3 linked regions of the Pelodiscus sinensis genome follow. The protein of the gene in region 3 interacts with the protein of the main gene of each other region in a pairwise test. Links are inferred from orthologs where the notes say so. Each region holds a gene or a part of one and is shown on either strand. Other genes may lie near its edges. The genes, in order: PPARG, RNF20 and HTT.

Region 1 (3,748 bases), on a different chromosome or scaffold from region 3:
AGATACTGTCGAAAAAGAGCATTTAGACTACAACCTGTACTGTCAACAAAGCAAGCCACTTTTTCGAAAGAGTCTAGATACTCTCTTTCAAAAAAGCAGTTTGCCTGCAATAGTGCCTTTTTTTCCACAGAGTGCTATCGAAAAAAGGCATGATTCCTCGTAGAATGAGTTTTACCGCCGTCGACAAAACTGCCGCGTTCTGTTCACTTAGGGTACGTCTAGACTACCGCGTTTTGTCGACGGAAGTTTTGTCGACAGATACTGTCGACAAAACTTCCGTCGACAAAGAGCGTCCAGACACATTGAGTTCTGTCGACAAAGCAAGCTGCTTTGTCGACAGAACTCCGTAGTCTGGACGCAATGTTACAGGCAATAACACCTTCTGTCGACAGAAGGTGTTATGCCTCGTAAAATGAGGTTTACCAGTGTCGACAAAACTGCTGAGTTCTGTCAATGTTATGTCGACAGAACACAGCGGTAGTGTAGACGCTGGTATAGTTTTGTCGACAAAAGTCCACTTCTGTCGACAAAACTCGGTAGTCTAGACACACCCTTCCTGTCGATAGAACAGAGCGGTAGCGTAGAAGCAGGTATAGCTTTGTCGCCAAAAGCCCACTTTCAGCCACAAAACCCTGTCGTCTAGACACAGCCGCCGTTACACTTAAGAAAAGACCCGCAGAGTTCAGCTTTCAAAGGCCGTAGGGGCCAAAATCTCTCTTCCACTACACATCTGTAATTTCACTGAGATTCTCGAGGCTGCATGGGCAGGACTCGCCGGACTGTGGCGATGGGTGAGAGGAAAGAGAAGCCACGCATCCCACACACTCCCTAATGCCACATACCCCAGCTCTCTTCGTGCCACACGCCTTTCTGCGCCCTGGCCCCCGGCCCTTCTCCACCGTCCCCCTCAGGGTCCCCTTTCCCGCCAAGGCTCCAGCGCCGGGAACCAACGGCCCACGCTGCCGCTCGCGCAGGAGGCCCCCAGCCAGGGCAGGGCAGCGCGGCCCGAGGCTCGGGGAGGGCCAGCAGCAGGGCGTGGAGGCGGCGCCTGCCGAGCAGGGAGGCGGCGCCCGTCGGGAGGACGGGCCGGGCGGGGGAGTTTATCCCACTAGAAGGGAACAGTTTCTCCTGCCGAGGCTTGACAGCGCCAGGTCAGTGCGCGCGCGGCTGCGGGGTGCTCTCTGCGGGCAGGGAGGGGGGAGTGCAGCAGACGGGGGGGGTCTCTTTGGAGTGGAGGTGGACAGGGGTGTACCCCGGGGGCGGCTGGGGCTGTGGGGGTGGGGAGAGGGACATATCCCTTGGCGCAGGAAGCAGGGCTGTGCTCCGGGGGATATTTGGGGCTGGAGGCAGGGGGCTCTTTGGTGGGGCGGCTTGATGAAGGGGGGGGGCTTCATGGAGTGCGGGCATGGCGGCACGGGATGAGTGAGGGAGGATGGGGCTAGTGCCCACGGGGGGGCTCTCGCTGGCCAGGGCGCTGCTCCCAAAGGGGCTTGGGGAGGAATAAAGAACTTGGTGCATGCAAGCCCCAGGGGGAGCTGCGACCTTGGGGGCATCAGGGGGCAGTGAGATACACACAAGGCTTTACCTTTGGGTGGCCTGTGGAGTTAGGAGCATAGGTTGGTCTTGGGTGCTGTGTGATGAAGAGGTGGATTATACTGGTGGGGGCTGAGTCTCATGCAGGCAATATAAAGGGTGGGGATGGTAAATATCAGTTAATTGAACAGTTGATTAACCTCATGAATTCTTAGCAGATACTCTACTATTCTATAGTTCCCCGGGGATGGGGCCAGCAGCCAGTATGTTCCGGCTCCACTCCCGAGGAGCCCCCTGCAGTCCGCGCTGCTGTCTCTGTACGCGGGGTGCCAGGCGGGAGATCGATTGTGAGGCGTTTCAGTTTAAAAACTAGCTCCCCTAATGGAAGAGCTGCCTGTCACCCCAGAACTGAGCTGGCCTGCCTGCCCGCCTGGATCCTAATACACTTTAAATGCTGAGCTGCAGCGGGGGTTGATCCCGGAGGCCAGCCTGCTAAAAAATTTACTGGTGGGAGTGTGTGTAGTCTATAGCATTAACCAATAAGATTTTGCTTATTGGTTGATGAGTGAATTGACTATACTGTTACGTCTCTAATAAAGTGTATTGGGGATAGGCAGAGGGACAGGGTAAATGAGTGCTGTATGAGGATGTGGGAATGCACACAGAGACATACGTCCATTATTGCTATATGTGTGATATTGAGGTATATAAACAATAAACTGTGAGCCTCTGGTACATTGTGATATTTGCAGGTGGCTATTTCCCTTGTTACAGTATGTGGAGAGGGGAAATAGCTGGGGAGTGTTACTCACTTTACTTACCTGATAATGAATGAAAAGCATCATTTTCTCTTTGACTTCTCAATCAAGAAGAGTCAGGAAGTCCTGTGTTTAGTCATGCCACAGCAGAGATATTATGTTGAAATATATTATGTATGGGTGGCATCCCCCAGGCTTGCAGTATTTTGTAATCCTCCTGGTGTCATTTCTCTCCACGGTATTCTATAGCTGGGAACTGCAAGTTCTTGTAGTGTTATAACTTCAAGGCAGTATATGCACATGATACAGTGCTGTGATAGTATTTTATTATAACATTATATCATGAAATTAGACAGATATCTATGTGTAGCCATTTGGAGGTAAGCATAGGAAGTTATAAAGAAATGATCAATTGTTACTTACCTTTGGACTTATTATTTAATAGTCTTGATACATTTAAGTTAAATTAAAAAGATCAATTATAATTGCCCAGATATTTAAACAGAGAATGTGGATTGATACATTTTGTTTGTGGCCTACTCTCTACATCTCCAAAAGAGTTGTTTGTCTGGAATGTTACATTAATGTTTGTCGGAAATATGAACCAATGTTCAAAAATATATTTCCCCCTACAGTCTACCTACGCATAATAATATGCATAGAGTAACTTTTTAAAGATGATAATAATGCATTACTTGTTAGAAGAAGAGGACCCAGTGTGGCCCCTGGGGTACACTGGAACTTGTATAACTTGTAGTTCCAGTCTACCTTTTCAAACTAGTCATGTCTATTGTTCCCTTATTGATATTAGAATATCTTGTGCATAGTTATAGTGAACATTTTTATGCCCTCTAACCTACTGGAGATTAGTGTGAAAAATTAGCAGAAATGTAAGTATGAGACAATGAAGAATCACTTTTAAAAAATTCTGTGCAAAGTAAATTAGAATGTTGTCAGTTGGGGGAGGTATTTGATAAAATGGTCAGACCTAGATGTTCAGATTAGCAGGTAAACATCAAAATAACTGTGGATAGGTATTCTAATAGGAGCTACTTTCAGATTTAAATCTTCTTAGACATCAGTTTATTAAAATATTGCATTATTGGTTTACATTTTTATATATTCCTGTGAGTAGCTCTAGAAGAAAGCATCCATTCCTTGATAAATAATACTTGATCTGAAAGGTATGTTATGCTGTGTCAGATGTTAGTGTAGCATGAAAAGTTTGTCATTAGATATACTTTCTATGAAAAAATATTCTCTTCCTCCCTGTTAAGTATTTAATATAGTCAGACGCCACAACAAAAAGCCTATAAGATGGTAACATTGATCAATATTTCGGCTTCAGTTTTTAACTTTTGCGTTATGATACCGATATTGACATAGCTTCTGAATCTAAGTTTTTTCTACTTGACTTTTCTTTCAGTTTCTATAGATCAGTTCCTAAATTCAGGCCC
Region 2 (3,748 bases), on a different chromosome or scaffold from region 3:
TGGCTTCGGTGCTGACTGAGAGAAGCCTGGCACCTGCTGGCTTATATTGCACAATGCAATTTTTAAAAAATAAACGGCAAAACAAATGTGCTGCCATCAAATTAACCAAGTAGCCACAACACATCAATTTGATCTGAGGAAGTGGGTCTGGGCCACGGAAGCTCATCACCTAATAAACCATCTTGTTAGTCTTTAAAGTGCTGCATAGTCCTGTCTTTTGTTTCAGCTAGACCAGACTAACAGGGCTACATCTCTTTTACTATTTCACAACACCTCGATTACCCCCACCCCACCTCTTTCAAGACTACACTTGAAAGAGAATCCTCCCAGCTGTCATTCATGCTTAAATTCGACACTTTACATCTAAGTTTGAATAAAGACTCTAATTATCTTGCCCATTACAAAGATAGCGTCCCCAATGATCACTAGCTCCCAGACATTTACCCCCCGCAGCCTCCTTCTGTTCTGAAATGTGATTTGTCCTTTTCATATGTGTTCATTTTTTTAATTGTATCCTATGGTTGTGACTATTTTCTTCCACTATTTGATCTGAAGTATCAGAGGGGTAGCCGTGTTCGTCTGAATCTGCAAAAGCGACGAGGAGTCCTGTGGCACCTTATAGACTAACTGAAGTGTAGGAGCATAAGCTTTCGTGGGCAAAGACCCACTTCGTCAGATGCATGTACATGCATCTGACGAAATGGGTCTTTGCCCACGAAAGCTTATGCTCCTACACTTCAGTTAGTCTATAAGGTGCCACAGGACTCCTCGTCGCTTTATTTGATCTGAGGAAGTGGGTCTGGCCCAGGAAAGCTCATCACCTAATAGCGCTGCATAGTCCTGTCTTTTGTTTCAGTGACACCAGACTAACAGGGCTGCATCTCTACCCCCACCTCGCTGGTGCCTCCCTCCTTTCCCCCCGGCTGGCTGGTTTGCACCCCCGCAGCTGCAGGGGCTAGTTAATATTCCAAGGTATTTAGGAAGTGGGGAGCCTAAATGCATTGGAGGAGCGAGGCCATGGGGTCGCCTACTCCCCCAGCTGCTGCTCTAGGTCCCCTGCTGTACCCCACTCGTGCCCTCAGCTCAGCCACGTCCCCTGACAAGAGGCAGGGCTGCAGCCGCCATGTCAATGAAGGGCGCCTGACTTCGAACCCCTAGGAACCAATGAGAGGCGGTAGCCATGGCAACTAAGGGCAGAGCGGCGGCAGAGCCTGTCAGGCGGTGGGCGGTGGCCGCCCTGTTGAGGAAGGGCAGAGTGGCTTCAAAGCCTCTGGCAGGCAAAGGGCGAGGGCAGCCATGTTTGTTGAGGGCACGCTGCCGGGCGACAAGCTACGTGAGACGCCGGCGGGGATTGGCTGAGCTGCTGTCACCGGCCGCTTCCTGCAGGGTCAGGGTTGGGAGGCCGGAGGTGAGGCCCGGTGGCTGGGCCGGGGGTGAGTCTCGGGGCTGGGGTGTTGCGGGGAGGAGAGGGGGCTTGGCCCGTGGGGGAGGGGCAGGGGGCTTGGCCCGTGGGGGAGGGGGCTTGGCCCGTGGGGGAGGGGCAGGGGCAGGGGGCTTGGCCCGTGGGGGAGGGGCAGGGGGCTTGGCCCGTAGGGGAGGGGGAGGGGCAGGGGGCTTGGCCCGTGGGGGAGGGGCAGGGGCAGGGGGCTTGGCTCGTGGGGGAGGGGCAGGGGCAGGGGGCTTGGCCCGTGGGGGAGGGGCAGGGGCAGGGGCAGGGGGCTTGGCTCGTGGGGGAGGGGCAGGGGCAGGGGGCTTGGCTCGTGGGGGGAGGGGCAGGGGCAGGGGGCTTGGCTCGTAGGGGCAGGGGCAGGGGCAGGGGGCTTGGCTCATAGGGGAGGGGCAGGGGCAGGGGGCTTGGCTCGTGGGGGAGGGGCAGGGGCAGGGGGCTTGGCTCGTGGGGGGAGGGGCAGGGGCAGGGGGCTTGGCTCGTAGGGGCAGGGGCAGGGGCAGGGGGCTTGGCTCATAGGGGAGGGGCAGGGGAAGGGGGCTTGGCCCATGGGGGAGGGGCAGAAGGGGAGGGGGCTTGGCCCCTGAGTGTGAGGGGGGTCGGGGGGGGGGAGTGGGGAAGTGTTCGCGGAGGGGGGGGCAGTTGGCCCCTGGCCTGGGGTAAGGGGAGCGGAGGCTCAGGCTGGGGCATGTAGGATGGGGGAGTGTCAGGGGCAGGAGGGGCTTGGCCCCTGGGCTGGGGGAAGGTGGGCTGTGGGGTATGGGGGAAGTAAGAGGAGGGGGACTCGCCCCTGGGATAGAGTAGAAGGATATCAGTTAGTTGGAGGTATGTAGGGGTCAGCCCCTGTTCTGTGTCTGGTGGGGAGGGGCAATATCAACGCTGAACTTGGGCTGGTTGGGTGAGGTGACTTGATCAGTGGGGGCTTTTTGGGGTGTGTGTGTGAGGGGGAGTGATGGGATAATCGCCCCTAAGGGTGGGGCGGTGCACACAGATATTTTCTGAGAGTGGTATTTTTTTTCTGTCAGCCTGTTGGTTTCTGTTAACAGTGCTCTCTGTGGAAAAAAACATCCCACAAATAACAAAAGCATGCTCCATTGAAAAAGAGGGACATTTTTAAACACAAGGAACTGAAAATCTTCCTTCAGTCACATTTTAGAGTGAGAAGGAGATGGCAGTGGGAGGATTCAGCTCATAGATGTTGGACATTTTAAGGTTCTTTATAAGACATTTAAAAGATGGTATGGACCTGCTATAAAAGTCTTGGAGAGATTTCAAAACATGAGACACTTGAGAGGGTCACTGTCAAGTTAAAATAATACATTGCAAACTAAGGGTACATCTAGACTACATGCCTCTGTCGCCAGAGGCATGTAGATTAGGCTACCAGACATAGTAAAATGAAGCGGCGATTTAAATAATCGCTGCTTCATTTAAACTTACATGGCTGCTGCGCTGAGCTGACAAACAGCTGATCAGCTGTTTGTCGGCTCAGCGCGATAGTCTGGACGCGCGGGTGTTGACATCAAAGGTATTTGTCGACCACCCAGGTATGCCTCCTGGGATGAGGTTTACCTGGGTGGTCGACAAATACCTTTGACGTCGACACCCGCGCGTCCAGACTATCGCGTTGAGCCGACAAACAGCTGATAAGCTGTTTGTCAGCTCAGCGCGGCAGCCATGTAAATTTAAATGAAGCGGCGATTATTTAAATCGCCGCTTCATTTTCCTATGTCTGGTAGCCTAATCTACATGCCTCTGGCGACAGAGGCATGTAGTCTAGATGTACCCTAAGTCTCTGATTGAGCAAAGCACTTAATTCACACACTGATTTGCTTTACTCACATATGCTTTCAAAGTAAGTGTCTGCATGTTTGCAAGCGAATTCCTTAGCTGTATTAGAAATACCGCTGTAAAATGGAAAGAAGTTTAAAAATCTGTTGATACTATATGTTTTGTTTACTTTTGCTTTTTGTTCAGCTTGTAGGTAGAGGCACATCTTCAGCTCCTGTGAATGGGCTCAGCATCAGAGAGGTTAGTGGAACTGTGGCCATTTACATCATCTGATGATATGGCCCTAAAAATTGGCTAGTCTGTTTCATGAAGGTTCACCTGTATTGGCACAGTCTTGCAATGTTTGGGTTAAAAATATTTCCAGGACATGTTTGTTTGTTTGTTTAACTTCAGTGGAGGAAAAAATCCTGTAATAGAAGTGGTGGTCTTGAGTTTTGAAGATTACTATTTTTAAAATGATTTGGGGGTCAAATTAAAATACTAACCTGATAACTAGTTAACTGAACTCTT
Region 3 (3,748 bases):
CAACTATAATTTCACTACATAGATGTCAGAAAAATCACTTCACCCACAGCCCTTCCGTTTTCCCTCATACTCTGGGAATCAGGAAGAACACCGTTTTCTACATTCAGCATTTAGACAATAAAGATTTTAATTTGGGGCCCTCTACACCTGCTCCATCAAGACTTTAAAAAGAAAATCACAAGGATTGTGCTACTACAGCACTGTAGCACTGAACAGCTCCTTGTACTCATCCTCTACCCAAGCATTATAGTTAAGAGTCCAGAACAGTCATCATTAAGGTTAAGAATTTGACACTTATTTTTAGTAAAATTCACAGACAGGTTATGGGCTTTAATTAATTTTTGTTTATTTCCCAGGACCTATTCAGGACTTTTATTAAAAAATAAGTGTGTGGGGATAATGACATGGAGATGACTGAAGCCTGAAAGGGGAGAGAAGAGAGCCTGAGTCCTGCTGGGGGATGGACCAGCACCCAAAGCCACAGCCAGCTGACAGTTCTGGGGATGCAATTCCAACCCAGGGTACCCATCCAGAACACACCATACGATCCATCATCTATAGTCAAGCCCTTCGATACAACTGCATCTGCTCTAATCCCACTGACAGAGACCAGAAAATTCAGGATCTCTACCAAGCATTTATAAACCTCAACTACCCACCCGGAGAAATAAAAAAGCACATTGAAAGAGCCAGACTAGAAACCATCTACTTCAAGACAGACCCAAGAAAACCAACAATAGAACACCACTTGTCATTACTTACAGCCCCCAACTTAAACCTGTCCAACACATTATCAATAAACTACAGCCCATACTGGAACAGGATACTAAACTGGACATACTTCACTAATACCAACCCTGGTACCTTCCCTTGCAACAAACCCCATTGCCAGCTTTGTCCACATATTCACTCTGCAATACCATTATTGGACCCAATCAAGTGAGTTATAAGATCAAGAACACATATTCCTGTGCATCCAGAAATATAATTTATGCTATCATGTGCCGAAAGCGTCCATCTGCTACGTACATTGGACAAACATCTCAGACACTTCGCCAAAGGATCAATGCCAACAAAACAGATATTAGGATCACAAAGAAAAACAGTTTCTTACCATTTCAACCAGAAAGGACATTGTCTCAACGACTTAATTACCTGCATCCTGCTTCAAAAGCCTTTTAGACTGCACTTGAAAGAGAATCCTCTGAACTGTCATTCATGCTAAAATTTGACACTTTACACCTGAGTCTGAACAAAGGATCTAGTTACCTTACCCATTACAAAGATAGTTTCCCCAATTATCACCTCTAATATCATTAGCTCACAGACATTTACCTTCCCCTCCCCATTCCCCTTCTGTTCTGAAATTTGATTTGTCCTTTTCATATGTGTTCATTTTTTTAATTGTATCCTTTGGTATATATGGTTGTGACTACTTTCTTCCACTATTTGATCTGAAGAAGTGGGTCTGGCCCACGAAAGCTCATCACCTAATAAATCATCTTGTTAGTCTTTCAAGTGCTATATAGTCCTGTATTTTGTTTTAGCTGTTTTAAAGTTATTCATTCCTCCATATCAGTCTCATAGTTCACATTTTATAGTATACATCATAATTACTATAATAATTTGTCTGTTTTAACAGAACTGCTGCTTTAAGAAAAACAAACCTAACTACCGACCAAGGATCTTTCACATAAAGCTTCTTTTTCCCCCTCAAAAATAAAAGTTCAGTACATGCTAGACTCTGGATACCCAATTACCAGGATACTTTATTAAATTATCTTCTTCCAATGAGAAAAGGCCAGCTGAGTACAGAATACCAGCCTTGCTTTGCGGGCACACACGTGAATTACTATTTATTATTATTCCAGGAGTTCGCTAGAGCATGCGAGAGGCTCCCTGGCTGTCACGAGGTGTATGTATGTGTGTGTATATATCTACGTAGCAGATAGCAGCGGCCTAAAGAAGCTGCTGCTCTACTCGGGGGAGCGACCCTCACTGCGGAGCAGGTTAATAAACCTTTTCTTTCTGGTGAGAGCCTTTTGCTGGGTTCCTGTAACGGAACCCAACTGCTTTGGAACCCGCCGCCACGCATCCGTCAGCTCAAGAGACAACATCAAGGGCCCATCCGCCCCACCAGTGGCAGGCCCCCCCACGGGCGTCCCTTCCCCCGCCCACTCCACCCCCGCTGCTGGGGCGGCAGCTTCTAAGAAAGCTCTATGGTCCCCTCCTAGGTTTGCCCCCGACCTAGCCTGGCCGCCCCGCGGCCGCACACTCACACTCTCTGGAGCGGCTCCTCGGGAATGGCAGCCGGACCCTGCTGCTGCTGAAAGGAGCGGAGGGACTCGAAGGCCTTCATCAGCTTCTCCATAGTGGCCATGTTCCCTCAGGGGCCAGGCAATCGCAGCGCCCGGACCGGACTCCCCGAGCCGCCTCGCAGCGCCCGGGAGCGTGGAGCCTGCCCCCTCTCAGCGCACGGACTGCCCCCTCCTAGGGCCTCAGAAACTCTCCGCTTGCCGCGCCCCGGCCGCCGCGCCGCCGTGTCTGCAGCCGCCGGGGTCCGCACGCGCCGCCGCTCGTCACTGCAATGAATGGAGGAGACGCTGCAGGGGTCTGCGATCACTTCGAAACCGCCTCACCGCCATTTTGGAAACCTCCCATCATCCCCCACGCTAACCCTCCCTGCCCGGCCGAGAGCAAAGGTCCCCGCGCATGCCCCTGAACCCGGCCTATCCTCAGGGAGGGGGTTGGAAAACTAAAGAGTGACAGCCTCAACCACCAATCAGAAAGGAAGCTCAGGAATACTGGCCAAATCACCACTAGCGAGGGAGGCTGGGTCACCCTTCAGATAAACACAAACTTGGTTGAGAGGGCATACATTCATCCGCACTCCCCTCGCCCCCAACCACTCCGTTCTGCCCCGCCTCCTCTCGCGAAAGTCGCTGTCGGGTCCTAGTGCCCCTTTGGTTCATGTCAAACTTGGGCCGGTCTGCCAGAGTCCGCCGGTCGCATGGTGCTGGCTTCGTTCCCTTGGGCTCCCACAACCCATGATCCTCAGCGCACAGCAGACTGCACGAGGGCCGCTGGGGGTATGCCCTACTTAGAGCAACCTAAGGGACCATCTACACCCAGATCTTGTATTTCCGTTGCTACTAGGTTCAGGCCCCATGGTGTTGTCTGTCCTTTAATAGTCAGGAACATGACAGGGGACTTAATGACAGACAAGAAGCTAGTGCCCATAAAATTCTGATGTGAACACTCCTATTTGCGAATGAAATGGAGCTCAGGGCGTAAATAAGTTTGTTCTCTGAAAGTTAGACTTAGATATGTCTAGAGCAAGGGTAAGGTTGAGTTAAAGCAGTGGAAGGACTCTGCTACCTGTTGCAGAAGTGGATTATGTAATTCAGAACTTCAGAAAAACCCACTTCCATAGATCCAGGAAGCATACAAGGTACAGTACTCTAGCGGCATACACTTGCTGCTGTAATACACCCATATCCTAAGGTTGAGTTGAATGACATCATCCCTGTAGGTTTAAAATTGAACAACATGCATGCATCCAAGGGCTAAGGCAGGAATGGGCACTAATTTGTGGAATGATCCCTCTGCAAAAACAGGCCACAAAGTTCTACTATTTTAATGAAAAGGCTCCATTATGTTTTTATACAACAAATTGCACTTAGTAATTAACTGAATACACAATTATCCACAGCTTCTCTTAGAAGGCAATTGATATTGCAAACTATTT

What was found.
Region 1: the proteins of HTT (region 3) and PPARG interact in binary tests that used the Homo sapiens proteins (3 or more experiments, as listed by UniProt). The link is inferred for Pelodiscus sinensis from reciprocal best matches to the Homo sapiens genes HTT and PPARG.
Region 2: the proteins of HTT (region 3) and RNF20 interact in binary tests that used the Homo sapiens proteins (3 or more experiments, as listed by UniProt). The link is inferred for Pelodiscus sinensis from reciprocal best matches to the Homo sapiens genes HTT and RNF20.

Annotation. Positions count from the first base shown.
Region 1 is NC_134721.1:47,574,758-47,578,505, forward strand, and holds the start of PPARG (peroxisome proliferator-activated receptor gamma), read left to right. Parts: upstream 1-1,031; 5' UTR 1,032-1,151; intron 1,152-3,748. UniProt on the Homo sapiens protein: Nuclear receptor that binds peroxisome proliferators such as hypolipidemic drugs and fatty acids.
Region 2 is NC_134716.1:7,957,297-7,961,044, reverse strand, and holds the start of RNF20 (E3 ubiquitin-protein ligase BRE1A), read left to right. Parts: upstream 1-1,330; 5' UTR 1,331-1,433; intron 1,434-2,250; exon of another isoform or gene 2,251-2,272; intron 2,273-3,424; 5' UTR 3,425-3,478; intron 3,479-3,748. UniProt on the Homo sapiens protein: Component of the RNF20/40 E3 ubiquitin-protein ligase complex that mediates monoubiquitination of 'Lys-120' of histone H2B (H2BK120ub1).
Region 3 is NC_134715.1:116,691,064-116,694,811, forward strand, and holds the start of HTT (huntingtin), read right to left. Parts: upstream 2,420-3,748; 5' UTR 2,381-2,419; coding exon 2,280-2,380; intron 1-2,279.